Linked DNA regions of Elephas maximus indicus. The protein of the gene in region 1 interacts with the protein of each later gene in a pairwise test. Links are inferred from orthologs where the notes say so. Each region holds a gene or a part of one and is shown in the gene's direction. Other genes may lie near its edges. The genes, in order: GLP1R, SLC15A4, interferon-induced transmembrane protein 3-like and CD81.

The links.
Region 2: the proteins of GLP1R (region 1) and SLC15A4 interact in a protein complementation assay, tested with the Homo sapiens proteins (2 studies listed by BioGRID). The link is inferred for Elephas maximus indicus from reciprocal best matches to the Homo sapiens genes GLP1R and SLC15A4.
Region 3: the proteins of GLP1R (region 1) and interferon-induced transmembrane protein 3-like interact in a protein complementation assay, tested with the Homo sapiens proteins (2 studies listed by BioGRID). The link is inferred for Elephas maximus indicus from reciprocal best matches to the Homo sapiens genes GLP1R and IFITM3.
Region 4: the proteins of GLP1R (region 1) and CD81 interact in a protein complementation assay, tested with the Homo sapiens proteins (2 studies listed by BioGRID). The link is inferred for Elephas maximus indicus from reciprocal best matches to the Homo sapiens genes GLP1R and CD81.

The regions. Positions count from the first base shown.
Region 1 is NC_064819.1:102,896,953-102,904,955, forward strand, and holds the start of GLP1R (glucagon-like peptide 1 receptor), read left to right. Parts: upstream 1-4,997; 5' UTR 4,998-5,013; coding exon 5,014-5,091; intron 5,092-8,003.
Region 2 is NC_064840.1:3,145,317-3,152,420, forward strand, and holds the start of SLC15A4 (solute carrier family 15 member 4), read left to right. Parts: upstream 1-4,087; coding exon 4,088-4,648; intron 4,649-7,104. UniProt on the Homo sapiens protein: Proton-coupled amino-acid transporter that mediates the transmembrane transport of L-histidine and some di- and tripeptides from inside the lysosome to the cytosol, and plays a key role in innate immune response.
Region 3 is NC_064846.1:178,013,255-178,019,165, forward strand, and holds interferon-induced transmembrane protein 3-like, read left to right. Parts: upstream 1-3,919; 5' UTR 3,920-4,008; coding exon 4,009-4,275; intron 4,276-5,058; coding exon 5,059-5,250; 3' UTR 5,251-5,410; downstream 5,411-5,911.
Region 4 is NC_064825.1:135,506,738-135,514,655, reverse strand, and holds the start of CD81 (CD81 antigen), read left to right. Parts: upstream 1-4,904; 5' UTR 4,905-5,128; coding exon 5,129-5,194; intron 5,195-5,769; exon of another isoform or gene 5,770-7,474; coding exon of another isoform or gene 7,475-7,918. Other genes in the region: uncharacterized protein LOC126081186, read left to right, coding at 7,475-7,918. UniProt on the Homo sapiens protein: Structural component of specialized membrane microdomains known as tetraspanin-enriched microdomains (TERMs), which act as platforms for receptor clustering and signaling.

The DNA.
Region 1 (8,003 bases):
CTACCACTCACTGCCCCCAAGTGAAAGTTTCTGTTTTGCCCACTAACCAGTCTTCCTACTAAGGGACAGAGGAGGATTCTGCAGGCCATCCCTACTGGGACAGGGCCTTGCAGCTTCTTTTCCTCAGATGGACACATCAAGTACTCCCAGACCCATTTCTGAAGACAATCTAAAACCCATATCTTCTTAGTGGAAACCCATGGTGCCACACCCTAGGCCCACAGGAGAGTCTCTGGGCGTGGGTGTAAGGAGCAGGAACCCAGCGCTCTAGCCCTGAGGTGGAAGGAGCCACAGGGAGGCGCTGTCCGGTCAGGCTGGCAGAGCTGGTGCCTGCGCCCTCTGTGGTGCCACAGACTCAGCGGCTCCTCGGGAGCTTCAGCACCAGCTCTGGGGGCAGGTGAACCTGGAATGAATGCCAGCTCTGCTCCATGAGCTATGTCCTTTACCTCCCTGAACCTCAGTCTCCTCGTCCATAAAATGAGCATAATACTTGCCTTTATTGGAAGGACTTGATGAGATCAGTGCACACTAAGCAACCAGGAGCACCTGGTTCACAGTGGGGGCCCAGGAAGTGGTAGCTCTGGTTGTCATTTTCACGGTTATTGTGAGTGGGTTAGCAGCTGGTATTCCATCCCATTCAGACCTCTGTTCTTAGGGAGTTCATCCTCTGCTCTGCTCCAGGGGCCCTGAGCGAAAGGCCCTGGTAAGTGTGGGGAAAGGAGGTGAGTGTACTCCCAAGTATATGCTCTGTCCTCTCTCATAACCCATTCTTCTTCCAGTAAGTTTGTGAGCACCTACGATGAGCCAGACACTTCACCAAACACTTGGATTGATAACGTTTCAGTTGCAGCAAACATTCACTGAGCCCCTGCTATGCGCCTCATGTATAGCCACCACCCATCTGTCCATGGTGGCTCCTGTGTTGCTGTGATGCCAAACAGGTTTCAGCAGGGCTTCCAGACTAAGAAAGACTAGGAAGAAAGGCTTGGTGATCTACGTCTAAAAATCCCTATGGATCACAGCAGTCCACTCTGCAGCTGATCATAAGGGTGGCTCAGGCCTGGGCAGCACTTTGTTCCATTATGCATGGGCTGACTCGCTGGTAGCTAACAACAACCACACTACGTGCCATGGTCTGTGCTGATGCTGGATATCCAAAGATGAGCAAGGAAACAGCCCTTCCCTCAAGGAGCTCACAATCTAACGAGGGATGCTATAACTAGGACAGTGAGCAACAGTGACACAACAGTGACAGTATGTGCTTCAATTTATTCTATTTGTTATTTTAAACAAGAGTCACTAAGAACGGAGCACCTACTATGTGCCAAGCACTGCACCGGGTGCCTTCAGTTAGCAGCCGAACACGTTAACTGTTTGCACTACCCAGGGAAGAAGACGGATATAATCTATGGTAGTGTGTGCTGAGATGAAAGTAGAGTCAGAGAAAATGCAGAGGCATTTGGACACCCAGGTATTAAAAAGAAAATTGCTGGAGCAACAGAGGAAGAAGGAGAGTCAGGAATAGGAGAAGGAAATGGAATGTGTAGCTAACTGCCTCCGTGAACAACTGCTTCCTCTGCCATGACACCAGAAGAACTGGATGGTGCCCAGCTACCATTACTTAATGTTTTGATCAAAGATTCTATAGAAGAATCCTGATCAAAAGGGGGGGGGGAATGCAGAACAGAATTTGAAATTCTCATGGAATCCAGATATTCTGGAGCCATGGAGACTGGATGAACCCCTGAAACTATTGCCCTGAGATAATCTTTAAACTTTAAATCGAAAATATCCCCTGAAGTCTTCTTAAAATGAAACAGTAGTTTAGCTTAACTAGTAAAGAATCTCTGCCTTGAGCATTACACTCTTTTAAGATCTATCTATATGAGATCAAATTGACAATAGCAACTTGAAAGACTAGATAGGAACCTTATAGGGCAGTGAGTTTATGTCAGCAGGGGAGGAACAACTCAGAAAAGGAAGGTGAATATGGCTGTACAACTTGAAGAATGTAATCAATGTCACCGAATTGTACAGGTACAAACTGTTGGTGTATGTTCTGCTGTGTATGTTATCAAAAACAACAAAACTGCATAAATTATACATATATATGTACATATACATACATACATATACATATATGTATACACACGTATATATGGGAAAGTTGAGTAGATGCTTCTAGGCTCAGAGGTCCAGCCCCTCAGTCCTTGGATCCTTTCATATGCCCACTGTCTTTGGCTGGGCTTTCCTAAAAAAAGACAAATATTTAAGGATAAGTGGTTTATTTTTATTTGGGAGGTGACCCCAGAAGGACTAGTCCCCTACTGGTGGGAAAGTGAGCCGGGAAAGTGAGCCAGGAAAGGGAAGGAAGCCAACACTGGGTGCGTCATTGAGCAGATTACCACTATGGGCAACTGAGCTCAGTTGCAGTCAGGACCTCTGGGACACCACTTGGTACCCACCTCTGAGTTGTCCAATCCAAGGGAGGAGGACCTAGGATATTTATCAACTCCTGTCCTTCGTTGGTTGAGAGCTGCTCATAGGGGTGTTATTTCCCAGAACATCAGGCATGCCCAGCATTGGCTGAACCCAAGCAAGCTCCTCTGAGTCAGAGAAAGCCCCCAGGCAGAGAGAAATAGTGAGTGCTAAGGGTTGGGACTTCAACAGCATCTGCTCCACCCATGCTTACCACAGTTGTAATATAACTGGCTCACATAATTAAATTATGTGTTTAATGCCTCTCTCTTGCATGAGACTGTAATTCCCATGGGGGCAGGGACTGCATCACCCTATATCCCCAGGACCTAGCTCAGTGTCTGGCACATGGCAGGTGTTCAATGAATATTATTGAATAAATGTAATTTGGAGGTTGATAAATTCAGTGGTAAAGGCCCCAGCTCTGAATACCTTCTCCAGCCCCTTCTCTTCGTTTGCTCTCTGGAATCCTCTCTTCTCTGCCCACCCCAGCCCTGGTATAGCAGAGCCTGTAAGTTGTTTCCCAAAATCCACATTTGTGCCTTCTTCCAGCGTAATAAAAGGAGTCCCTGGGTGGCGCAAACAGTTAAGCACTCAATTACCAGCCAAAAGTTTGGCGATTCAAACCTACCCAGAGGCACCTCAGAAGACAGGCCTGGCAATCTGCTTCTGAAAGATCACAGCCTTGAAAACCCTGTGGAGCAGTTCTGCTCTACACACATGAGGTCGCCATAAGTCAGAATTGACTTGATGGCAACTAACAACAACAACAACAGTAATGAAAGTCCCAACATTTAACCTTGCTCAGGCTGCCTGGAATAAAGTATACATTTCCCAGCCTCCTTTGCAGCTAGGAATGCCCATGGGACCAAGTTCTTACCGGTGGAAGTGGAATTGGTGGCTGCCACTTTCAGGCACCTCCTCTTTCTTCCTTCCTGCTGGCTGGAACTTAGATGTAATGACTGGGACTGGAGCAGTCACTCTGGGTCATTAGGTGGAAGCCTTGGACCAAGAGAAGGGCAGGGCAACCAGCTAGAAAAGCCGTGGACCCTGATGATCAATGAGTGGCCACTCCAATCCTAGGCTGAGTCTCTGGGCTTGCTTTATAGGAGAGCACTTGGTTACACATTTGGGTGTTTGGTTTGGTTTGGTTTTGTCAGTCGAAGCTGAACAACCTCATTCCAAGTGGTACACTGAAGGTGACTGTCACACTAACTTCTGGGTAGGGGAGGGAATACATGACACCCAGGCAATGGGGGTGGAGCTCCCTGGAGAGGTGAAGGATCCTTCTCACAAAAAGGAAGCCTGTGGCTTCTCTCATTGGCTGTCTCCCTCACTGGTCTCAAACAGGTCCAGCCTCCCTCAGGGCTTTGAGATGTTCTGTTTTCTCCCTGAGGGGCAGCTACTCTCATAGACTCCCTTTCCCTGGGACTGTTCCAGACATACCCATGGCAGGTCCGGGGCTGAGTGCGCCTGCTACCCTATTGGAACTGTGTTCTTTGCAGGGGGGATCCCCTTTTACCACCTCCACTTTTCAAGGGCATTAGCAAACTCAGTGCCTTCTTAGAACTCCCTCCCAATAAGCCCAGCGATAAGAAGAACTTGAGAGTGGCCCGAGCACCTACTCTGTCCTGCACTGTGAGGGTGGGTGTAGAAAGGAAGGCGGGTAAAATGCAAAGCCCCCATAAAGCAGGGAGACAAAGACACAGGAGGCACAGAGAACAGCCACTCAGGTTAGAAGACGCAGTTATAAGACACAAGGGCTGTAAGAGTCTGGTGGTTCAGAGCTGGGTGCGTGGGAGCTGCAAGGGGTGGGATGTGGGAGAGGCTTAGAGAAAGGCCTCCTTCATCCTCCTCCTGCAATTCCGAAAGTTCCCAGTTGAAGGGGAAGTTCTCGACCCTCCCCACCTCCAGGCTCCATTGATCCATTTGTTGTTGCCTCCCTATCTTTCCTCCTTGGCTGTGACAGAGCCTGGGAGAAGCGGGGGGGGGGGGGTGGGGGGCGCATCGTTGAGACGAAGGTAACCCCACTGGGTGGGTCATTCGTCACACGAAGCTCTGGAAATAACTTTCCTAGAGGGGTCCAACGGGTTGTGTGACCTTGGACAAGTCCCATCTGCTCCTCTGAGATACCCTGAGGTTAGGGCAGACTGGGAGGAGGTCCGGGGGGGGGCCGGTGCGGGTGCGGATGCGGATACGGGCTAGCCTTGTGGCCGAAACCCGGCGAAGCGCACCGCCCGCGCTCAGAGCTGGCGGCCCGGCTCCAGCGCTTTATAAACCCGAGCGGCGCACGTCCGGAGCGCAGTGCCGGGACACCTTGCTGGCCCGGGACCGGCCTTGGGGAGCGGCAGGGGTGGCCAAGGGGCCAGGCCGGGCGGGGCGGGAGGCAGCCGGGAGACCCCGCCCGGCCCCTCCCGCGGGCGGGGCGGCCCCGCGCCGGCTCCTCCCCCTGCTCCCGCCGCCCGCCCGCACGGGATCAGTCGCCGCGCGCGGTTCCGCAGGTGGCACCGATGGCCCAGTCCTGAGCGCCCCGCCATGGCCGGCACCCCCGGCCCGCTCCGCCTCGCACTTCTGCTGCTCGGGGCGGTGGGCAGGGCCGGCCCCCGCCCCCAGGTGAGCCCTGCGGACCCTGGGGGGGACAGGGGAGAGGGAGGTGGCGCTGCGGGCTGCAGGCGCAGTGTCCTGGCAGGGGCGGCCAGGACTTGAGCGAAACTCCGCGACCGCAGGCGGAGGGAGCCAAAAGCCTCTGGGGTGGGGGTGGTGGGAAGGGGCTGGAGAGTCGGATACGTGGACTGAGAGGCCGAGGTGAGGGGCTTGGACCGAGGACGACTCCCCCAGCCCGGGTGAGGCGCCCACTCCTCGCCTCCCGGGCCCCCCTCTCAGGCACCAGCTGCCCGCGGTCGCCGGCGCTGACTTCTGTGGCAGGTCTTCGTCCTCCCCAAACCACTTTCCCAACTCCGCCTTCCTCTTCGTAAACCGGTGCCGGCGGCTCTGGCACAGCCCAGCGCTGGACCCCTGCACCTGAGACGCCCCTCCTGTATGCCCTGGGCCTCCTCCGCAGTGCCTCCCACCCCCACCCCTGCCCTGCGGTCAGAGACTCAGAGAAAGCTCTGGGCAGTAGAGAGGGCGCGTGGGTAGAGACAGTGCACTGGTCCCCTTCACCAGCCCCCCAGCACAGCCTTTGACTCATAGCCCCGGGGACCTTACGGTGGCAGCTTGTTGTCCTTCCCTGTGACCTCCCAGATGGGACTTGCATCTCGTCATCACCGCCCCCCCCACAACCCCTGCAGCAAACACGCGGGAGGCTCTGCACTCTTCCAGAAGCATCCAGGCTCTTGTCACACACCTGGCGGGCCCCCCACTTTCCCTAGTTGGCAGCACACACTGGAGGGCATACTGGGGGCTCACAGGCACCTTGGCCTCATTGCCATGCCATCAGAGAGCAGGCCACAGGTGCACCCCTTCTCCTGCCTTTCTAGACTCCTGGGCTAGAGGCAGCACAGGGTCAGCCTGTGTCTGGGGAGGGAGCTTGTCCAAAGATGCTGTGAGATGCTGGAGCAGAGGGGAGGTACAGGCTTGGGTGGCCTATTCCGTTGCAAGGAACTGTCTCCTTCCGTCACCTCCTCGTGCCTCCCCCTGTTACCCATTGCGGTGAAGTCAATTCTGATGCACAATGACCCTATAGGACCAAGTATAACTGCCCCACAGGGTTTCTAAGGCTGTAAATCTTTACGGAAGCAGACTGCCACATCTTTCTTCTGGGGAGCTGCTGATGGGTTCAAACCACCAACCTTTTGGTTTGCAGCTAAGCACTTTTACCACTGCACCACCAGGGCTCCTTCCTGCCTCCCCCAGACCTGAAGAATTGAGATCTTTGGGAAGTGGACCTGTAATAGGCCTTGAAATTTGTCCCAGAACAGATGGGAGGCAGGATGGTGGGCCATTGCCTTGGTCTTGATGAAGGCGGACTCTACCCCTGGCCAAAAATGCACATGTGGACAGATGTCCCTCTCAGCCAGGGTGCCAACACACTTTCAGTCCCCCAAATTCTTGTGCAGACTCATTCTCTCCCATCTTTTCCCCCATCCTAGTCCCAACAGACACCCTCCCTCCCCTGGCACCTTCTCTCCCCACCTTCCAACCTTGGCTTTCCACTGGAAGCTTGTGTGGTTGGGATTTTTTGGGGGCCAGGACTGCAGAGCCATTACCACATTCTTTCTCACCTTTACCTCCTTTTTGTTTTGTTTTTATAGGTTGGGACAGGAAGGGGTTGGGGGTGCGGGGGCGGGGGGGGTGCCCTGCTTCCTGGTCCCATACTGCTGCAGGCCAAGTCTGCAGATCTGGTTTGGATTAAGGGAAGAGGAAGCATTCTGCAGGCAGCCTGTCAGTTCTTCCCAAAGTTCTTTTTTCCGGAGGTTTCAGGCTCCTTGAGCCTCTCCTTTCTTCTGACCCCCCTCATTCCTCAGCCCTGGGCTTAGGACAGAAGCTTAGAATATCAGGGCATAACAGGAAGGACTAGGGTGACAGAGGAGGGAATGCGGGGACAGTATCTGGGCAGAGAGGGCGGAGCATTGAGGGGCTGCGCATGTTGGGAGGCAATGAGCATTTCTGGCCACCGCGAGAGACCTGAGCAGCAGGCACGTTTGAGGTTTGGCAGCAGTAATTATTACAAAACCTCATGCATGCATATAAGGTTTTTTAAAAAGTAGTGACTTTTACATTTTATTTTTTGTCCATGAAGCCGGCAGGACTAGGGTTACTCCTTCCACATCACTGATGGGAGGACAAAATCTCAGAAAAAGGGTTCCTTATACAAGGTGGTGCAGCAATTTAGGAGCAGGAGGAGAAAGGGGTGCAGGGCTAGGGTCTTGGCATAATACCCTTATATTCAGGTGGATTAGGAGGGACTGAGAGTGAGCTGCTCACTGTGAGGTCTGGCAAGACTGGAAGCAGCTTCCCTGGGGGCAGGAAGATGGCCTCTAAAGAGTGTGACCTCAGCCACTCCATTGTGGCTGAGAAGAGCTACTTCCCCACCCTGTTTCCTACCTCCCCAACACCCCTGTGAGGAAGTGGACCTACGGAGGAGACAGGCAAACCTCTGACACTCAAGTTAGAACCAGTCACAGTTGGGCTCATGTATCAGCTCTGCTATTAGCTGGTAATCTTGGGTGGGACACTTGACCACCCTTAGCCTCAGTTTCCTCATCTGTAAATAGGGATCACAAGCTCTGTCACAGAGAGTTGTGGAGAAGACTGAAATGCTGGCACTGTGAAACGGCACCTTTAGTCACTTGAGTGCCTCCCAACTTGCGCAGCCCCTCAATGCTCCACCCTCTCTGCCCAGATTTGTCCTCAGAAACCTGGAAATGTTCTTCAGGGCTGCAGAAATAGGATGTGCAGTGGGCTGTCAGAGGTCCCATGCTTCTGCATGCTAGTGTGTGGTGGATGGAGCCCAGGCTGTGCAATGGTTAGTGTGGACTTTGTTCTGAACCGGGCTCCCTCCCGGACATGGAGCCAGGATGGGG
Region 2 (7,104 bases), on another chromosome or scaffold:
TATTCAACATCGTGTTGGAAGTCTTAGCCAGGGCAATCAGGCTAGACAAAGAAATAAAAGGTATCCGGATTGGCAAGGAAGAAGTAAAGTTATCACTATTTGCAGATGACATGATTATATACACAGAAAACCCTAAGGAATCCTCCAGAAAACTACTGAAACTAATAGAAGAGTTTGGCAGAGTCTCAGGTTATAAAATAAACATACAAAAATCACTTGGATTCCTCTACATCAACAAAAAGAACACCGAAGAGGAAATAACCAAATCAATACCATTCACGGTAGCCCCCAAGAAGATAAGATACTTAGGAATAAATCTTACCAAGGATGTAAAAGACCTATACAAAGAAAACTACAAAGCTCTACTACAAGAAATTCAAAAGGACATACTTAAGTGGAAAAACATACCTTGCTCATGGATAGGAAGACTTAACATAGTAAAAATGTCTATTCTACCAAAAGCCATCTATACATTTAACGCACTTCCGATCCAAATTCCAATGTCATATTTTAAGGGGATAGAGAAACAAATCACCAATTTCATATGGAAGGGAAAGAAGCCCCGGATAAGCAAAGCACTACTGAAAAAGAAGAAGAAAGTGGGAGGCCTCACCTTACCTGACTTCAGAACCTATTATACAGCCACAGTAGTCAAAACAGCCTGGTATTGGTACAACAACAGACACATAGACCAATGGAACAGAATTGAGAACCCAGACATAGATCCATCCACGTATGAGCAGCTGATATTTGACAAAGGACCAGTGTCAATTAACTGGGGAAAAGACAGCCTTTTTAACAAATGGTGCTGGCATAACTGGATATCCATTTGCAAAAAAATGAAACAGGACCCATACCTCACACCATGCACAAAAACTAACTCCAAGTGGATCAAAGACCTAAACATAAAGACTAAAACGATAAAGATCATGGAAGAAAAAACTGGGACAACCCTAGGAGCCCTAATACATGGTATAAACAGAATACAAAACATTACCAAAAATGATGAAGAGAAACCCGATAACTGGGAGCTCCTAAAAATCAAACACCTATGCTCATCTAAAGACTTCACCAAAAGAGTAAAAAGACCACCTACAGATTGGGAAAGAATTTTCAGCTATGACATCTCCGACCAGCGCCTGATCTCTAAAATCTACATGATTCTGTCAAAACTCAACCACAAAAAGACAAACAACCCAATCAAGAAGTGGGCAAAGGATATGAACACACATTTCTCTAAAGAAGATATTCAGGCAGCCAACAGATACATGAGAAAATGCTCTCGATCATTAGCCATTAGAGAAATGCAAATTAAAACTATGATGAGATTCCATCTCACACCAGCAAGGCTGGCATTAATCCAAAAAACACAAAATAATAAATGTTGGAGAGGCTGCGGAGAGATTGGAACTCTCATACACTGCTGGTGGGAATGTAAAATGGTACAACCACTTTGGAAATCTATCTGGCGTTATCTTAAACAGTTAGAAATAGAACTACCATACAACCCAGAAATCCCACTCCTCGGAATATACCCTAGAGATACAAGAGCCTTCATACAAACAGATATATGCACACCCATGTTTATTGCAGCTCTGTTTACAATAGCAAAAAGTTGGAAGCAACCAAGGTGTCCATCAACGGATGAATGGGTAAATAAATTGTGGTATATTCACACAATGGAATACTACGCATCGATAAAGAACAGTGACGAATCTCTGAAACATTTCATAACATGGAGGAACCTGGAAGGCATTATGCTGAGCGAAATGAGTCAGAGGCAAAAGGACAAATACTGTATAAGACCACTATTATAAGATCTTGAGAAATAGTAAACCTGAGAAGAACACATACTTTTGTGGTTACGAGGGGGGGAGGGAGGGAGGGTGGGAGAGGGTTTTTTTATTGATTAATCAGTAGATAAGAACTGCTTTAGGTGAAGGGAAAGACAACACTCAATACATGGAAGGTCAGCTCAATTGGACTGGACCAAAAGCAAAGAAGTTTCCGGGATAAAATGAATGCTTCAAAGCTCAGCGGAGCAAGCGCGGGGGTCTGGGGAACATGGTTTGCGGGGACTTCTAAGTCAATTGGCAAAATAATTCTATTATGAAATCATTCTGCATCCCACTTTGAAATGTGGCGTCTGGGGTCTTAAATGCTAACAAGCAGCCATCTAAGATGCAGCAATTGGTCTCAACCCACCTGGAGCAAAGGAAAATGAAGAACACCAAGCCCACATGACAACTAAGAGCCCAAGAGACAGAAAGGGCCACATGAACCAGAGACCTACATCATCCTGAGACCAGAAGAACTAGTTGGTGCCCGGCCACAATCGATGACTGCCCTGACAGGGAGCTCAGCAGAGGACCCCTGAGGGAGCAGGAGAGCAGTGGGATGCAGACCCCAAATTCTCATATGAAGACCAAACTTAATGGTCTGACTGAGACTGGAGGAATCCCGGCGGTCATGCTCTCCAGACCTTCTGTTGACACAGGACAGGAACCATCCCCGAAGACAACTCATCAGACATGAAAGGGACTGGTCAGCGGGTGGGAGAGAGACGCTGATGAAGAGTGAGCTAATTATATCAGGTGTACACTTGAGATTGTGTTGGCAACTCTTGTCTGGAGGGGGGATGGGAGGATAGAGAGAGAGGGAAGCCGGCAAAATGGTCAAGAAAGGAGAGACTGAAAGGGCTGACTCAAGACGGGGAGAGTAAGTGGGAGTAGGGAGTGAGATGTATGTAAACTTATATGTGACAGACTGATTGGATTTGTAAACGTTCACTTGAAGCTTAATAAAAGTTATTATAAAAAAAAAAAAAAAAAAAAAAAAAGACAGGGTGGGGAAGGTCGAGTTCTGGCACTCAATTATCCTCTCATTAGAAAATTATCACATATTAATTTACGTAGCACCATGTCAGGCATCAGTCCATAGTCAGACTTTTTTTTTTTTTTTTTTAAGATAATCACGCTACTTCAAACCTTATTGGCAGGACTGACCTTATCAGAGGACTTCAGGGCAAGCCCCGCTTCCCTAGGTAATGGTTCCCTCCTGGTCTTAGCTGGAGGTAAGGATGGAGCAAGTAATGGGAAAGGGTCTTACTCATTTGAACTAATGGAATCCTTGGATTGCGGTGGTGTCCACTTTGGGGAGACACTCCACTTTAGCACATGCCAGGCACCATCCCAGGCACTGGGGACATGACAAGGAATGAGACACCTAAGAACCCTGTGTCCATGGACCAGGGAACACACAGAACCAGGGGGGATACAAAAAATAAACATAAAACTGTAACAGGTGCTGTAGGGTAACCAAAACCAGGGGATGTGATCAGGCGGGACCTACTCTGGATGCTGTGGTCAAGAAGTGTCACCCTAAGGAGGCCACATTTGAGTCTGGAGCTGACAGAGGGTGACATACCAGCTTTGTGACAGCGGGTGCTCTGTGAAGGTCTGAAAGGGTCTCCAACTTGGCTTGTCCTAGGACAGTGGTTCTCAAAAGGGGACGGTTTTGTCCGCAGGGGACATCTAGTATTCCTGGAGACATTTATGGCTGCCACAAGTGGGGCTGGGGCAGAGGAGGTGGTACTGGCACCTAGCGGGTCGGGACAGTGATGCTGCCAAACGTCCTACAACGCACAAGACAGTCCCCACCACAAACAACTATGGGGCCCAACATGTCACTAGTGCTGAGGTTGATAAACCTTGACCTAGGACATCCTGGGGCACAGCGGGAAGGGGGCCAGCCCCGGGAAATCAGCCTGGAGGGCAGGCAGAGCTTCGAGGCCGTTGCAGGCGTCAGGGTCCTAGGGGTCCACTGGCAGCCTGTAAGGGCTTGCAAGAGCGGGGTATCAGGCTCCGACTTCGTTTGAAAAACACCCACCGAGGGGACGTCACGGCCGCGGCCTCACTTCCGCCCCCTCCGGAAGCAGCGCCGCGGCCTCTCCAGGCTTCCGGGGCGGAACCGGAAGTTCCCGACCGGCTGAGCGACGGCGAGCCCGCCCACTGGGAGGGCGCCCGAGAGGTCTCGCGAGAAGGGCGGTGGCTGTGGGCTCGCGGAGGCCCGGCCGGCGGCGGCGAAGATGGCGGGCTCCGGCGAGCGGACGCCGCTGCTGGGCTCGGGGAGCCACGGCGCGCGGCGGGCGTCGTCGGCGTTCGCGGGCCGGCGCGCGGCGTGCGGCGCCGTGCTGCTGACGGAGCTGCTGGAGCGCGCGGCCTTCTACGGCGTCACGGCCAACCTGGTGCTGTTCCTGAACGGCGCGCCGTTCTCCTGGGAGGGCGCGCAGGCCAGCCAGGCGCTGCTGCTCTTCATGGGCGTCACCTACCTGGTGTCGCCGTTCGGCGGCTGGCTGGCCGACGCGCTGCTCGGCAAGGCGGGCGCCATCGTGCTCAGCCTGGCGCTCTACCTGCTGGGCATGCTGGCCTTCCCGCTGGTGGCCGCGCCCTCCACGCGCGCCGCGCTCTGCGGGCCCCTGCGGGCCGCGCTGCTGGAGAACTGCTCGGCGCCCGTCCGCAACGCCAGCGCCGCCTGCCACGACAGCCCCGAGCGCCGCTGCGCCGCCGCCACCTTCGCGGGGCTGGTGCTGGTGGGCCTGGGCGTGGGCACCGTCAAGGCCAACATCACGCCCTTCGGCGCCGACCAGGTGAGCCGGCGCGCGCCCCGCCGGCCCGGCCCTGCCCACCGGGCAGCAAGCGCTGCGCCAGCCCCCGAGGGCCGCCCAACCCCGACGGCTGCCCAGTGCCAGCCCCCGAGGGCCGCCCAACCCCGACGGCTGCCCTGTGCCAGCCCCCGAGGGTCGCCCAACCCCGACGGCTGCCCAGTGCCAGCCCCCGAGGGTCGCCCAACCCCGACGACTGCCCTGTGCCAGCCCCCGAGGGCCGCCCAACCCCGACGGCTGCCCTGTGCCAGCCCCCGAGGACCGCCCAACCCCGACGACTGCCCTGTGCCAGCCCCCGAGGGCCGCCCAACCCCGACGGCTGCCCTGTGCCAGCTCCTGCGGGTGGCAAACCCCGACAGCTGCCCTGTGCCAGCCCCCGCCGGTCGCCCAACCCCGACGGCTGCCCAGTGCCAGCCCCCACTGGTCACCCCACCCCGACGGTTGCCCAGTGCCAGCCCCCACTGGTCGCCATACCCCGACGGCTGCCCAGTGCCAGCCCCCGCGGGTCGTCCAACCCCGACGGGTGCCCTGTGCCAGCCCCCGAGGGCCGCCCAACCCCGACGGCTGCCCTGTGCCAGCTCCTGCGGGTGGCAAACCCCGACAGCTGCCCTGTGCCAGCCCCCGCCGGTCGCCCAACCCCGACGGCTGCCCAGTGCCAGCCCCCACTGGTCACCCCACCCCGACGGTTGCCCAGTGCCAGCCCCCACTGGTCGCCATACCCCGACGGCTGCCCAGTGCCAGCCCCCGCGGGTCGCCCAACCCCGACGGGTGCCCTGTGCCAGTCCCCGAGGGTCGCCAAAACCCGAAGGCTGCCCTGTGCCAGCCCCCGAGGGTCGCCAAAACCCGAAGGCTGCTCTTAATAGGCAGAACAAGACAGTGTCCTCTGCTCTCATGCAGCTGCTTTCTAGTGAGAAACAAGGGAACAAGTAAGTGGAAAAGCAGTAACGACTGGTTGTGATAGGTGCTGGGAAGCAGCCAACCTAGGGTGATGTACAGGAATTGATGGATTTAAATGAAGGACTGGCCACTATGGAGGGGGCTTTTGAGTTGGGACCGGAGGGATTCCGAACTGGGGAATCAGCAAGTGCAAAGTACCTGGGGCCAGGAAGAGAAGGGAGGTCCCAGTTTTTGCTGCTCTCGGTTTTAAGATAACTGGAAAGAGGATTGTTAGGCAGGGGTCAGAATATGTAAGGTGGGATAAAGAGTCAAGTGTTTTGTGTATTGTAGGAAGCCTTTATAGGGTCGAACTGTTCCTAAGAGTTTGGCTAAGTGTAGAGCCGGTAGGGAAACTAGCCGGTGGGCCCGGGCCAAATCTGTTTTACTTCCTGTTTTTGTAGGGCCCACAAGCTGAGAGCGGTTCTTATGTTGTTAAGTGGGAAAAAGAATCACAAGAGTATTTCATAACAAGCTAATATTACATGAAATGTGCCTTCCGAACTCCATTAGTTGTATTGGAACACAGCCTTTCCCATCCCTGTTTTGTTAAATGTTTTTACTGTGGGTGCCTTCAAATACGGTAGCAGAATTGACAGACCTTAAAATAATTCTATTTGACCCTTTACAGAAAAGTTTGCCAGCGTCCGTTGTACATTTGTATGGAAAATGATGACAGCAGGGATACCAGGTAGGAGTCTGTTAAAACTGGCCAGGTGAGAGAGAGAGAGACTTGGACTTAGAATGGAGGCAGTGGACATGGAGTGAAGTAGATGGATTTGGGATCATTTACCGAGGTAGGATGGGCAGGAATTGCTCTTGGATTCTATGTGCGTAGTAGGGAAAGAGGCATCAGAGGTGACTCCTCGTTTTTTGTACTAAGTGCATCAGAGGTGACTCCTCGTTTTTTGTACTAAGTAACTATGTTGTTACCTGGCCCTAGATAACATTTACTGCGGGCTCACTGAGTACCAGGCACTGTGCTGCGTGCTTTATTATTAGTCTACATAACACCTTGATTGTTGCGTTATTGTGCCCATTTTACAGATGAGGAAACTGAGGCTTGAGAGGTTAAGTAACGTGCCTAAAGTTACACAGCTAGTAGGTGACTGAGCCAGTATTCAAAACCTGACCTTTGAATCAGATCCCAAGCTTTATGGAAACTTTGGGAGGCTCTCCCAGCCACACAGCAGAGAGAAGCCTTACAGTGACGATGAGAGTAACACTTGCCTGATGTATTGAATTCTTAACTGTTTTCCTGCAGCATGGCACATGTTTTACACACTTGATTTCATTCGCACTTCACGTGAATCTTTATGTCCATTTTATAGATGGGGAAACAGGCAAAGAGTGAGATCATTGTCACATAGCTAGCGAGTGGTCAAGCCAGGGGTTTAATTCCGGGTCTGATTACTTAGTCTGCACTGTAACCAGCCCACCAGGATGGAGTGGATTTCTGTGCATCCTGTGATGGGACGGCATAGGTGTGGTTGGGTCAGAGTATTCAT
Region 3 (5,911 bases), on another chromosome or scaffold:
TCACACACACACACAATAATGCATGCTTACTATGAGACATAATAAATTTCTCTAATAGTCAAAATAATACTTTACAAAGTTTTTAGAACAGATCTAGGTGATTCTTGGCTCATCGGTGGTAAAACAAACGAGTGTTTCTCAACCTTGGCACAACTGTCAAATTGGAGCAAGAGAATGCTTAGTTGTGGGGGGCTCTCTTGCATTGGGTAGGGGGTTGAGCAACAGCTCTACTCATAAGATGCAAGCAGCCTACCTAGTGTTGTTGTTCTTGTTGTCACTGAGTCTATTCCAACTCATGGTGACCTCATGTGTGCAGAGTAGAACTGTGCTCCATAGGGTTTTCAAGGCTGCAGCCTTCAGAAGTAGATCACAAGGCCTTTCTTCTGAGGCATCTTTGGGTGGCTTCCAACCTCCAATCTTTCAGCTAGGAGTCCCATGCATAGCCATTTATGCAACCCAGGGTGCACACTGCCAGGCTCACCCTCACCCAACAGAGCAGCAGGCCCCCATCCAGGACTGAATCACCAGCTGAGGGTTCAGATGTGTGGGAGCTGGGCTGAAGCGTGGGTGGGGAGGGGCAGAGAGGGGCCCTTGCACCCAGGTGGAAGTCCCAGGGGGTACCAGATGAGGCCTGGAGTGACATTCCAAGGTACCAAGAGTATCAAAGGCACCTGACTGAGACAGTTGGACAAGAAGCAGGGAAGTGTTTCTGCTGACATGTTACAGCTGTCAATGTCTGTTCATCTTGAAATTGGGGGGCCCAACTTAGAGATTGCCTCTGGGCACTAGTTACCCTTGCTACACCCTGAACCTCATCACCAAGTCGTGGCAATGAAAAATATTTCCAAACCCTTTGCCATCAAGTCAATTCTGCTGCATGGGACCCTACAGGATGGAGTAGAACTGCCCCCATAGGGTTTCCAAAGAGCAGCTGGTGGATTCAAACTGTCAGCCTTTTGGTTAGCAGCCAAGCTCTTAACCACGGCACCACCAGGGCTCCAAAACGTATCTCCAGTTATTGCCAAATGTCTCCTTTGTACAGGATCATTTCCAGCTTAGACCCATGACCTTAGATCACTTTGTCTCTGAGCTCATAAATACTGAAAATGATACGGACTAATAATATATCAAAGTATGTAGACCATGCCTGGCATAAGGCAAGTTATCAATAAATATTTATTGTTATTACAAAGGAAGTCTACTTAAGAGAAGTCCCTGGATGGTACCTGCACAGGATCAGATGCAAGTATACATGGGACCTTCCTGATGCTGGTGGTGGAATAAAGATATTGTGGTTATAGTGGCCATCTAAGATGCATCAGTTGGTCCCAACCCACTTGGAGCAAAGGAGAGTGAAGAACACCAAAGACACAAGGAAAATATTAGCCCAAGAGACAAAAGGGCCACATAAACCAGAGACTCCATCAGCCTGAGACCAGAAGAACTAGATGGTGCCCAGCTACCAGCAATGACTATCCTGACAGGGAACACAACAGAGTCCCTGACAGAGCAGGAGAAACGTGTAGAGCAGAACTCAAATTCACATAAAAGGACCAGACTTAATGGTCTGACTGAGACTGGAGGCACCCCCGAAGTCATGGCCCCCAGACGCTCTGTTAACTCAGAACTAAAATCATTCCCAAAACTCAGTCTTCAGACAAGATTAGACTGTACTATAAAACATAAAATAATGCTCACAAAGAGTGTGCGTCTTAGTTAAAGCAGATACATGAGACAAAATGGGTAGCTCATGTCCGGAGGAAGAATGAGAAGGCAGGAAGGGACAGGAAACCTGAGGTGGAAAGGGGAAGTGTGCTGTCACGTTATAGGGATTGCAACCAGTGTCACATAACAATACCTGTGTAAATTTTTATATGAGAAGTTAACGTGAGCTGTAAACTTTCACCTAAAGCACAATTAAAAAAAATAAATAAAGACATTGTGGTTATGTAGGTCGGTTTTTTTTTTTTTTTTTAGGTCAAATCTTTGTGATTATGAGAATTAAGCATAGATACTACAGAGTTCTTATAAGGTGGACCAGAATCTAAGACCTGGGACAGAAGAGTGAAAACCCATGAATCCTGAAGAGGGGAAGGACGATGCACGGAGTAATTAAAACTACAGTGTGCGACCATATCCCTAAATGCTGGATCCAGGTAGAAAAGACAACCTGTGCTCCACGGGGATACTCGTGGAAATTCAGGAAAAGGGAAACCACAGCAGCCCAGAGAGCCTCCCAACTCGCTATCCTCTGTTGTCAGTTCTTAAGCCCATGAGGAGTACTTTAGGGATGAAGATAGTGTTGACCCCAATATCACCCAGCATGTTTTCTCCTTTTTCAAAATGGGCAGCTGAGAGCTTAACATAACCAAGGCCATGATAAACCTATAAGTTGTTCTAACTCTGCCTGCCTCCTCACATACCTCTGTTAATGACTTTGTTTCCACCAAATGTTAATGACTTTGTTCTGTGTTTTAAACTGATGCAAATAACCTTTTGTTCTATCTAGACTACCTGTGGCATACAACCCCCACAGGAAAGTTGGAGCCCAGGTATCCGATATGTATGTCTTCAGCCTAGTAAAGAAATGTCTGACAGGGGACAACGAAGACACCTGTAACCCTTGTAAGATTCTCTATAAGCTCTAATGTAAAACTGCTCTTTGGGACTCCATAGAGACAGCCTGTGTTGCTGCTGGGTCCCTGGTGATGTATTCATCTCACTCTTTCTGGCTTGAAGTATGTTTCATTGGCTTGACTGCTCCAGGGCATGGACCCTAATCGGGTAACAATAGTAAAGATAGTAGAGGACAGAATTGACTCATCTTGGAAATGGGAAAATTGAGCTTCAGAAACTTGCCTGAGTTTCTCCAGGTTCTTTCTAGTTCTTCATGAGTGAGGTCAGATAACCTGTAATTTATACAAAGACCCTCACCAAAATGGGAAGCAGAAATGGGAAACAAACAGGCTGAACATGGGAGAGGAGGACTCAATTCCAGAAAATTAAAAGGTCTCTTCAAACTACCTAAGGTCCTCCATCCACTGATGAATGTGCACTTGGTTGCTCCTCTTCCCACCTACCACCCTGCCCCATCCACCTCCAAACCAAGACACATGTTGGCAAGAAGGACCTTTCCTGATTTTAGAAGGAGGCTCCTTCCTCAGTGTACATCAACAAGGCTAACACAGGCTCCATTCATTGTTGTTGTCAATATTAGTTACCATCAAGTTGATTCTGAATCAACTTGTATCAGGGTAGGATTGTGCTCCACAGGGTTTTCAAGGCTGTTTTTTTTTAATCTTTACAGGAGCAGATCACCAGGCCTTTCTTCCAAGGCACCTCTGGGTGATTTTCAATTGCCAACCTTTCAGCTAGTAGTAGAGCGCGTAAACATTTGGGTCACCCAAGAACTTCTTTGTAATAATAATAAACATTTATTGATAACTTGCCCTGTGCAATGCATGGTCCTGTTGTTGTTAGGTGCTGTTGAGTCAATTCTGACCCACAGAGACCCTACGTACAACAGAATGAAACACTGCCTGGTCCTGCTCCAGCCTCACAATAGTTGTTATGCTTGAGCCCACGGTTGCCGCCACTATGTCAATTCTTGTCCTTATGGGTCTTCCTTTTTTTCCCCTTACCAAGCATGATGTCCTTTTCCAGGGACTGGCCCCTCTTGATAACATGCCCAAAGTGTGTGAGAGGAAGTCTGACCATTCTTGCTTCCAAGGCACATTTTGGCTGTACTTTAAATGTATTGCTTCATTTTAACACTCACAGAAACCCTTCCAGGACAGCGCCCTAACTCTCCCTCCCCCTCCCCTCCTCTCAGGCTTGAAGTAATTCGAGCCTCTGAAATATGTCCCGCCTCCTTGGCCCATGGCCACCCCAATTCTTCAGCCTGGAAATAGAAACTTCTGAGAAATCGAAACTACTGAGAGAAGTGAGGCCAGGAAGCTAAACCTCTCACGCAAGACCCTCATCTACTGCTGGACGTCTCAGGAAACCATGAACCACACTTCTCAACACTTCTTCACTCGCGCAGGTACCAGCCTCTCTCCAGCCTACGAGATGCTCAAAGAGGAACATGAGGTGGAAATGTTGGGGGCTCCCCACTGCTCAGTGCCCCCTGGCCCCGTGGCGCCCGTGACATCCACCGTGATCAACATCCGCAGTGATACCTCGGTGCCGGATCATATCGTCTGGTCCCTCTTCAACACGATCTGTATAAACTGCTTCTGCCTAGGGTTTGTGGCCTTCGCCTACTCCGTGAAGGTGCGTGTGTGTGTGCCAGACACCAGGGGATTCTCCAGGAGGGTGCACTTGGGCGCTAGGGGTGCCCTCTGCCCACTTGGTTCTGGGGCTACCAAGGGTGTTTGTGTGTGTTCTTGTGTGTGCCTTTGTGGATGTGTGTGTGTCCATGTGTATGCATGTGCACGTGTGTGTGTCCGTGTTTACACATGTGCACATGTGTGTGCCGGGCACCTGGGCGATTCTTCACCAGGGCGGAGTGAGCACTTGGAGTGCGCTCCCCCCAGATGGGCCTGGCGGGGAGAAAGGACCTGTGTGTGTCCCTGCGTTAATATTTTTGTGTGTGTCTCTCTTGCGCGTGTATTTTATGTGTGCTTCCTTGTGAGTGTCTGTGTCTTGGGAGGGGGGTCTTTCACAGCGTAGATCAGCAATGACACCCCAGAGGGTGCTTGAGGATGTCCTTATCAGTCCATGTTCCCACAACTTCCCCAAAAAATGTTTGTCAGAGTTAACAGAGAAGTTCATCCCTCCCTCACCCTTGGGTTAGGGCTCCAGGCTGGGGCTGGGGTGGGGGGAAGGAAGGAAGGGTGGCACTGGGGCACAGCAGAGGGAAGACAAGCCCAAGGCTCCCTGAAAGGACTGGGGGATTGTGAGGAGGTCTCTGCCCCAGCAGGCAGGGAAAGAAACTGTCCTGCTAGGGCTCCATGGAATGGGCAGGGGGGGGGGGCTCTCAGATGTGGGTGAGGGCCAGTGCAGGCTGAACTGGGGACAGAGCTTCAGGTGCCCTCATTGTTTCCTCTCCTTCAGTCTAGGGACCGGAAGATGGTGGGCGACATGATAGGGGCCCAGAGCTACGCCTCCACAGCCAAGTGCCTGAACATTTGTGCCCTGCTCTTCAGTGTCCTGGTGACCATCGGGTTCATTGCTCTCGTGGCCAGTGGAGCCATGATAAGCCTCGATGCAATCTCAAAGCTCAGGCAGGCACAGGGGGGCCACTGACCGCTGCCCATTGCTGCTGCCTGAGCCCCCCAAGGCTCCACAGCTGGTCCTGCTTTCCCGCCTGTTGACACCCCACCCCAACTCTTGTCTAAAGCAGTTTGCACTCGATGATCTGTCTATAAACGAATTCAGTAAAGTTCCTCTGTGCGTAACGGGGAAACCCTGGTGTCATGGTGGTTAAGTGCTACAGCTGCTAACCTAAAGGTCAGCGGTTCGAATCTACCAGGCGTTCCTTAGAAACTATGGGGCAGTTCTACTCTGTCCTATAGGGTCACTATGAGTCAGAATCGACTCGACAGCAACGGGTTTGGTTTTGGTTTTTGGTGTGCAATGGTGCTGTGATATCGCCCGGGGAGAGGGTCCTGCTCTCAGTCACCAGTCTGCTCCTCAGCTGAGGGTCATCTCACCTTGTCCCACTACCAGGCAGAGCAGAGAGCAGGACACACCCTCAGGCCTGGCTGGTTCTGGCCTCAGGTGGGGCCACAGCTGGGCTGGAGTGGGGGCCCCTCTGACCCTGAGGTCTGAGCCCTGACGCAGGGCGGCTTCTTACAGGGGGATCGGTACTAGGAGGCACCCTCAGCCTCACACAGGGTGCAGAGGACCCTACTCAGGCACTCTGGGATGCCTAGGTCCAGCGGTCAGCCCTCTGGGGTGCACCTGG
Region 4 (7,918 bases), on another chromosome or scaffold:
GAACGCATTATGTCTCTCTGTTTATTTAAGTCTTTTTAAATTTTTTTACCAGTGTTTTGTACATCTTTTGCCGTATTTATGTCTAATTATTTCACATTTTGATGTTACCGTGAATGGCATTTTTTAGTTCAGTTTCTGATTGTTGCTAGTACACAGAAACACAATTGATTTTGTATATTGAGCTTTGGTCCTGCAGCCTTGCTAAACTCACTTACTAGGTATAGCAGCTTTTGTTGTACTCCAAAATTCAGCGGCTTAGAAACAGCAAGTATTTATTTCCTCACAGTAGCTGTGGGTCAGGAGTCTGGGCGCAGCTTAACTGGTGCCTCTGGGTGAGGGTGGGGCCTGGTGGCGAAGTGGTTAAGGGCCCAGCTGCTAAGCAAAAGGTCGGCAATTCGAATCCACCAGCCGCTCCTTGGAAACCCTATGGGTCAGTTGTACTCTGTCCTACAGGGTCTCTATGAATCAGAACCAACTCCCTGGCAATGGGTTTCTGGATCAGGGTCACACACAAGGTTGATTTCTGCCCCTTGGTCTCAGGTTCCAGTAGGGTTTGGCACGGCACTCTTAGTAACCCTGCCTTTATTTAAAATCTTGATATTTCAGTCTTCATAAAGTTTTTGCATCAATTTGAACTTTTAAAAGAATTACATTAAAATATTATTTATCTTGATCGGATAAAGGGGTAATGAGTTGATGTTAATAATGTTAACCTGGAAAAGGAGGGTGAGAATGGTCACACAACTTGAAGAATGTAATCAGTGTCACCAAATTTTACATGTAGAAATCCTTGAACTGGTATGTGTTCTGCTGTGTATATTCTCAACCACAACAAAAAATAAACTATAAAAAAAAGTATTACTTATCTCGATTACGCAGTTTTTTGATGCCTGCTTAAATTTCACGACTGAGGCAAACGCCTCAACCACCCCAAGCTCTTCCCAGCCTTGAGCATAAATACCAGGATAATTGCGGCCATTTCGGAAGCTCCCACCATAGCATCCTCTTATTTTTATCATATTTGTGTCTTTACATTTGAAGTGTGTTTCTTGAGGGTAGCGTCGAGATGGATCTTGTTTTACCACAAGTGGATGGCTTTAACAAACAAACGTATTTCCTGACATTTTGGAAGCTAGAAGTCTGAATTCAGGGTGTGGTTCTGGGGGAAGGCTTTATCTCTCTGTCGGCTGTGGAGGAAAGTCCTTGTCTCTTCTGAGCTTCTGCTCCTGGGCAGTCTTCATGTTGCTCAGCATTTCTCTTCTCCCATCTCTGCTTGCTTCTGTAATTTGCTCTTCTTATATCTTGTAAGATATTGACTCAAGACACACCCTACACTAATCCTTTCTCATTAACGTAACAAAGACAACCCATTCCCAAATGGGATTATACCCACAGGCACACAGGTTAGGATTTACAACACTTGTTTTGGGGACACAATTCAATCCCTAACATTAACTATAACTCTTTGCTTTCTTATTTTGGGGGTTGCTTTAGAGTTTATAGTTTACATCTTTAAGTTATTGGCTACGCACAGGCATTCAGTTGTGTGCACCGTGACTGATTACAGATAACCCTGGGAAGAATGGGAATTTCAAAGCGCTTAATTGTGCTCATGAGGAACCTGCATAGACCAAGGGGCAGTCGTTCAAACAGAACAAGGAGATACTGCGTGGTTTACAGTCAGGAAAGGTGTGCGTCAGGGTTGTATTCTTTCACTTATTCAGTCTGTATGCTGAGCAAATCATTCGAGAAGCTGGACTACATGAAGAAGAATGGGGTATCGGAATTGGAGGAAGACTCACTAATAACCTGGGATATGCAGATGACACAACCTTGGTTGTTGAAAAGAGGACTCGAAGCACTTACTGATGAAGATCAGAGACCACAGCCTTCGGTATCGATTACGCCGCAACACAAATCAAAAATTCTCACAACGGCACCAATAAGCAACATCATGATAAATGGAGAAAAGATTGAGGTTGTTAAGGATTTCATTTTACTTGGATCCACAATCAACAACCACAGAAGCAGCAGTCAGGAAATCAAGCGATGTATTGCGTTGGGCAAACTGCTGCTGCAAAAGAGGTCTCTACGGTGTCACTGTGAGGACTAAGGTGCACCTGACCCAAGCCATGATATTTTCAACCACCTGATTTGAATGCAAAAGCTGGACAATGATTAAGGAAGACCGAAGAAGGATTGATGCCTTTGCGTTATGGTGTTGGTGAAGAATATTGAATACACCATGGACTGCCAGAAGAACGAACAAGTCTGTCTTGGAAGAAGTACAGCCAGAGTGCGCCTTGGAAGCGAGAATGGCAAGGCTTTTTCTCACGTACTTTGGACATGTTACCAGGAGAGACCAGTCCCTGGAGAAGGACATCATGTTTGGTAAAGTAGAGGGTCATCGGAAAAGAGGAAGACCCTCAAGGAGATGGAGTGACACAGTGGCTGCAACAATGGGCTCAAGGGTCACTATGAGTCAGAACCTACTGGAGGGCACCTAACAACAACAACAACTGATAACTAAGACACTGGTCAAGCTGGTGGGCCACTGGTCAGGGCACTTGAGCCACTTGGCAAGGACAGGAGGTGGTTGGTTCCTCCGGGAAAGCCACAGTGTGCCAGGACCACAAGGTGGCCGCTTCCATCGCGTAGCCCTTTCCCCGTGAGGCCAGGTGTCCTGAGCATAGGCTCCACTGTGGGCCCAGCCGCCTTCTTTGGGCCTCCCAGCTGGCTGCCACACATGTCCATCCAATTGATCTCAGAGAATGCCAGGCATGTGACTCTCCCACCGGAACCCCTAATCGCTCCCACTACAGGTCAGAATCGAAGGCAGCCCCACCCTGGCCTTCTGCCAGGTCCGGATGTCACCTATCTGCCCCAACCACTGCTTCTAGCCCTCTTCCCCTCACTCCCTCTACTCCAGACCACTGACCTAATTTCTGTCCCTCTCCCTCCGCCCCCATGTTCTGCATGGTTGGCTCATTCCAACTGCAGGCCCCATACTGGTGCCCCCTTAAGCCTCCACCAAGCACCTGGGGATTCCCTGCTATCCCCCCCCCCCCACCAGCACTGACAAGGTCAGTGAAGGGGACAGCTGTCTCTGGCACCAGGGCCTCTGGTCCTTGAGGGAAGGGGTCCTGGCTGCCCGTCTGTCCACAGCCAGTGCTGGCACATGGCCTGGCACACAGCAGGCCCCCACTAAACATGTGATACATGGCTGGAGAGGAGAGAGGAGCTGGCCAAAGACAACCTGCTTGGGGCATAGTGGGCCCGGGGCAGTAGGCACAGTGCTGTCACTCCCTTTCCTGAGGGGAGGGAGGGTCAATGTCTCCTATGCTTCCTTCCTCAGAGGCCTCGGGAGGGCCTTCTGCTAAGGACGAAGCCCACCTCTTTGACAGGAAATGTCCCCTGGGGACCACGGGAAGCTGATGGAAGATAAGGGTGCCCAGGCCTTCTAGATGGGTTTCCTTACACTTGAGGCCTGTTCTGTCTCCTTTAAATGAAAAAAATCCTAGTAAGCCCTGGTGAAGGTTTAGATACTTTTAGTACAGTATCACTTAGCTATGCACAAACATAAAAGTATGACCTCTTTGTCCTGGTAGCTCTTATATAAGCACGAAGCCAAAACAAATTCGTTTTTTACCAAGAGAACTGGAAAGGTCTTAGGACGGCAAGCAACAAGAGAGAGCGGCTCTGTGGAGGGATGCGGCAGCCACTGGGCATCCCTGGCTATTTAAACTTACAATTAAATGCAATTTAAAATTCAGTTCCTCGGTTGCACTCGCCACGTTTCAAGTGCTCAGGAGTCACATATCCTGGGTTACCGCAGATACGGAACACCACCATCATCCGGAAAGTTCTACGGGCAGCGCTGTGATGGATGGTGTTCGGTGAAATGAACCGACTGCCGGCGCGCGTGGCAGGGGGAGGCACAGTGAGGTCTGCTTCTCCAGGCCTGGCCCCACTGCCCTCACCACGGGTTTCCTGGTGTAGACCCGTGAGAACTTCATCTGGTGTCACCTACCGCGCGCGCGACCTGGGGAGGAAGCATCCCTGGCTCCCTGAGTCATCCCTCCATTTCTGCAATAGCCCAAAGCAAGAAGCAGGGGTTGGCCCCGCGCCTCCAGGGACGCAGCGGGAAGTGCGGGGCTGGCACCCCTGAGGGGTATCCATACCACCCAGGATGGACATGAACCTCAAAACACTTGGGGGTTCTCCCACAGGTCGCTCGGGCCTCCTAGATACGTGAGTAACCTTTCAAAGAAAGACTCCCCTAACAGCTGTCTGCAACTCCACTTTGTAAGGGGCAAACGCGTGGCAGCCTAAAAGTGTGGCGTTTTGGCCCTTCCGGCCGGCGACCCACTGACTCGGGCCTCACCGCCCACCCCGGGTCCGGCCCCGAAAGCGATTGTGAACTAAGAGCGCTGCGCTCTGTGCATAGTCGCCATCACCTCCTTCTCGGAGCCTTCCTCGATTGTCCAAGGCGCCAGGATGGGAAGGGTCCTCCCCAGGCCCCCGGCTGCGCTCTTCGGCGGACGTTGCATGCCTGTCCTCAGGCGCAGCCTGGCAGCGGTCCCCCGGGGCTCGGAGGGAACAACGGCTCGGCGGCGCCTATCCGCCGCACCGAGGTCTGAAACCCCGAGGTCTGCGTGCAAGGGACGGGGGAGTGGCCGGGGACGCGACCCAGCGTGCGCTCCCGCCCCGCCGCCCTTCCAGGGGCGCCCAGGCAGACAGCACCGCGCAGGCCCCGGGGCACGCAGCGCGGCGGGGCGGGGATCGGGCTCCGGCGGCGGGGCGCGGGGGGGCGAGGCCTGGCGGAGGGGCCCGGAGCTGGACCCGCGGGGGCGGGGCTGGGGCGGGGCCACGGTGTCCTATAAGCGGCGCGGCGCGGGGCGCGCGCCCGGCCAGAGAGCGAGCGAGCGCGCAGCGGCGGCGGAGACGACCCCAGCGCGCACCCGGCCAGGCTTCCCAACGCCCCCGAGCCCCCAGGCCCCGTGCCTCCGCGCCTAGTGCGCCCCGCGCCCCGACCCGCGCCCCGCGCCCCGCGCCCGCCAGGCCCTCGCCGACCGCCCAGCCCCCGCCGCACCGCCGTCAGCGCCCGCAGGCCGCCAGCCGCGCCGCCATGGGGGTGGAGGGCTGCACCAAGTGCATCAAGTACCTGCTCTTCGTCTTCAATTTCGTCTTCTGGGTGAGCGGCTAGGGGCCGGGGCGCAGGAGGTTGGGGCGCGGGGGGCCGGGGCGCGGTGGGCCGGGGACCGGGGTGCGCGCCAACCCCGCAGGCCCGGGAGCCTCGGTAGGCCTGGCCAAAGGGCGCAGCCCGCGGGGCCGCCGCTGCGGGCCGCCAAGTTGCAGACACCTGTCGGCGTCGGGGCGGGTGGGGGCCCGGGGTCGGTAGGCCGCGGCGAGGGGGTCGCTCGGGGCCACTGCGCCCCCTAACGGCGGGCCGGGCCGAGGGCCGGGTTTCAGGGCGCCAGCCTTTGGGCGTCCGGGACTCAAAGCCCCAGGGCTTGGGGGCCGCTGTGCTGGCGACCTGGGCGGTTGGAGCCGGCAACCCATAGGGGAGGGGTCCGGGCCGTCTTCACCCGGGGACGGCCCCGCTCGGGGCGGGAGCCGGGGCCACCCTGCCGCGCCGGACGGAAGGGGGGTTCGGGGGCGGGGCTCCTGGCGCTCCGCCCCATGAGCTCATCGGGCCGCCGCCTCTAAATGGGTGGTGGGGAGGGAGCGCTTGCTGGGTAGGAGCCCTGGGGGCCGGCATCGCGCTCCGCCCCTAGCCCAGTCCATCCTCCTCTCCGCAGTCCCCCTCCTAAGTCTCGGGTCGGCCCCGGCAGAGGGCTGACCGGAAGCGCACTGGCCCGGGCATGCCCGTGTGTAGGGGGCCCGCACCGTCTTGGCCCAGCTCTAGGGCGCCGACCCCGCGCACCCCAGCCCCCACCACACACTTGGATTCCAGGGGCTGGGAAGCTTTGAGAGGCGTGGGCCTGGCCATAAGAGTTGGCACAGGGCAGGGGGTATCCGAAAGACCTGGCGGCTCCAAGCTCGGGGCTTGATCCCCGGCGTCGGTGCCGAGTGCTGGCTGGGATCTCCACTTCGGGAAGGGTGGCCCCCATGGTCACTGGACTGCAGCCCCGGTGTGGAGGGTCTCCCGGGTCCTCTCCCTGCCCCAGAGCAGCCTTCTCCTGATCTTCGTGGTAACTGCTGGGGAGTGACCGGTTGTGTCTTTTTCTTTGTTTCCATTTCTGGCCAGTCTTGGAATTGGGGAGGAGGTGGAGATTCCTTGCTGGACTGGAAGGTCTGTGGGTGCGTGCCAGGAGCTCCATTCTACCCTCGGACATTCTCCTTGGCAGTGACACCTCTCTGGTACCCTTTCTAGCTGCTTTGCCGTCCCAGTCTGACCCACCCTTATGGCGGGACAGTGTCCCGGGTGAACTGTGATTCTCAAGCTCAGGCAGTGACCAAAGGAAACCAAACCCAGTGCCGTCAAGGTGATTCTGACTCATAGCCACCCTATAGGACAGAGTAGAACTGCCTCATAGAGTTTCCAAGGAGGACCTGGTGGATTCAAGCTGCTGAGCTTTTGGTTAGCAGCTGTAGCACTTAACCACTGCGCCACCAGGCAGGGGCAGTAAAGTTGTAAAACGGCCCCTGGAGCAGACTGGGCTGAGACATCGGCTTCCCGTCTGTCTGGCTGGCTGGCGTGGGTTTGCTTCAGGGAGGTATTTGGGAGGGGCGCAGGGGAGGGCAGAGGCTGGACTCACTCCCAGCTGGGAGTGAGGGTCACATCCAGCCTGCTGGGGCCGGGAGCTGACCTCGGGAGGGTACCCTGGGGTTCCTGGAGCCCAGGGCCTCTCCCCAGGGCGGGGAGCAGTGAGGCTGCTTGTGCTTACCCTGCCCAGGACGGCCCCAGGAGCCTTGTAGGAACCAGCAGTGGTCCAGGGTAGTGGGCGATGGGTAAACTGAGGCCCTTATGCCCCTCAGCTGGCCCCTGTGTGAGCCGGACTATGACCCTGGTAGGGAAGGAAAGGGTAGGCAGAGGAGGGGGCTTCTCAGAAGTGGGTTTTTGTTCCTGGGGAGTCTGAGGGGAGTGGGCCAGGCTGGGCATCACCCTGGATAAGCCCCTCTGTGGCTGATCCCCAGACAGGCCTGCCCCAGGATCGTGGCCTGGGTGAGTGTGGTGGTTTCCCAGGCAGCGGGTGCCCTTCTTTCTTTGTTGTGACTCAAGGAGACTTTCCAAGGCTCCTAGCTGCTCCACTCCCTCAGAGCATTGAGAGCTGTGTCGGCCCACAGTCACCCCCCCACCCTGCCAACACCACCCTGAGTGCCCTGCACCCCGCCCCCCCGAGTCCTCTGCATCAAAGCCAAGGGTGGGCTCCTCAGAGTCAGCCTGGGCGGGGTCTGTTCCTCGGCTGCCTCACCCTCTAGAGTGAGGTCCCAGGGACCCCCACCGGGGTTTGTTGGGGGATTAACTAATATGATAAGTGCTGAGCGAGGGGCTTGGAACGGAGCGGGCTTGGGAGACGGGTCTGGGCATGGTGGCCCGGCAGGGACTATGGCAAGGGAGAGCCTTCCCATCAGTCTAGGAAGCGCCCTGCAGGTGAGTGGTTCTGACTGCCTAGTGGGTCAGCGTTCCGGGAGCACTAGGGTCGTGGGGGGCCAGGAAAAGCGGCTGAGGTCCTTTTCCAGAGAAGTTCCCACACGGGGGGAGGCAGATAAAGGACTGGCATGCTTCTCCTTTGCTGCTGCAGAAAGACCTGCCCGCCTGCACCCCACATCTGTTACATCCCACCAGCCTGCACCCCTGTATCCATGTGCTGTCAACTGCCTGCACCACACATCCGTGCTTTCCCACCCACCTGCACCCCTGTATCCACGCGCTGTCAACTGCCTGCACCCCACGTCCGTGCTTTCCCACCCA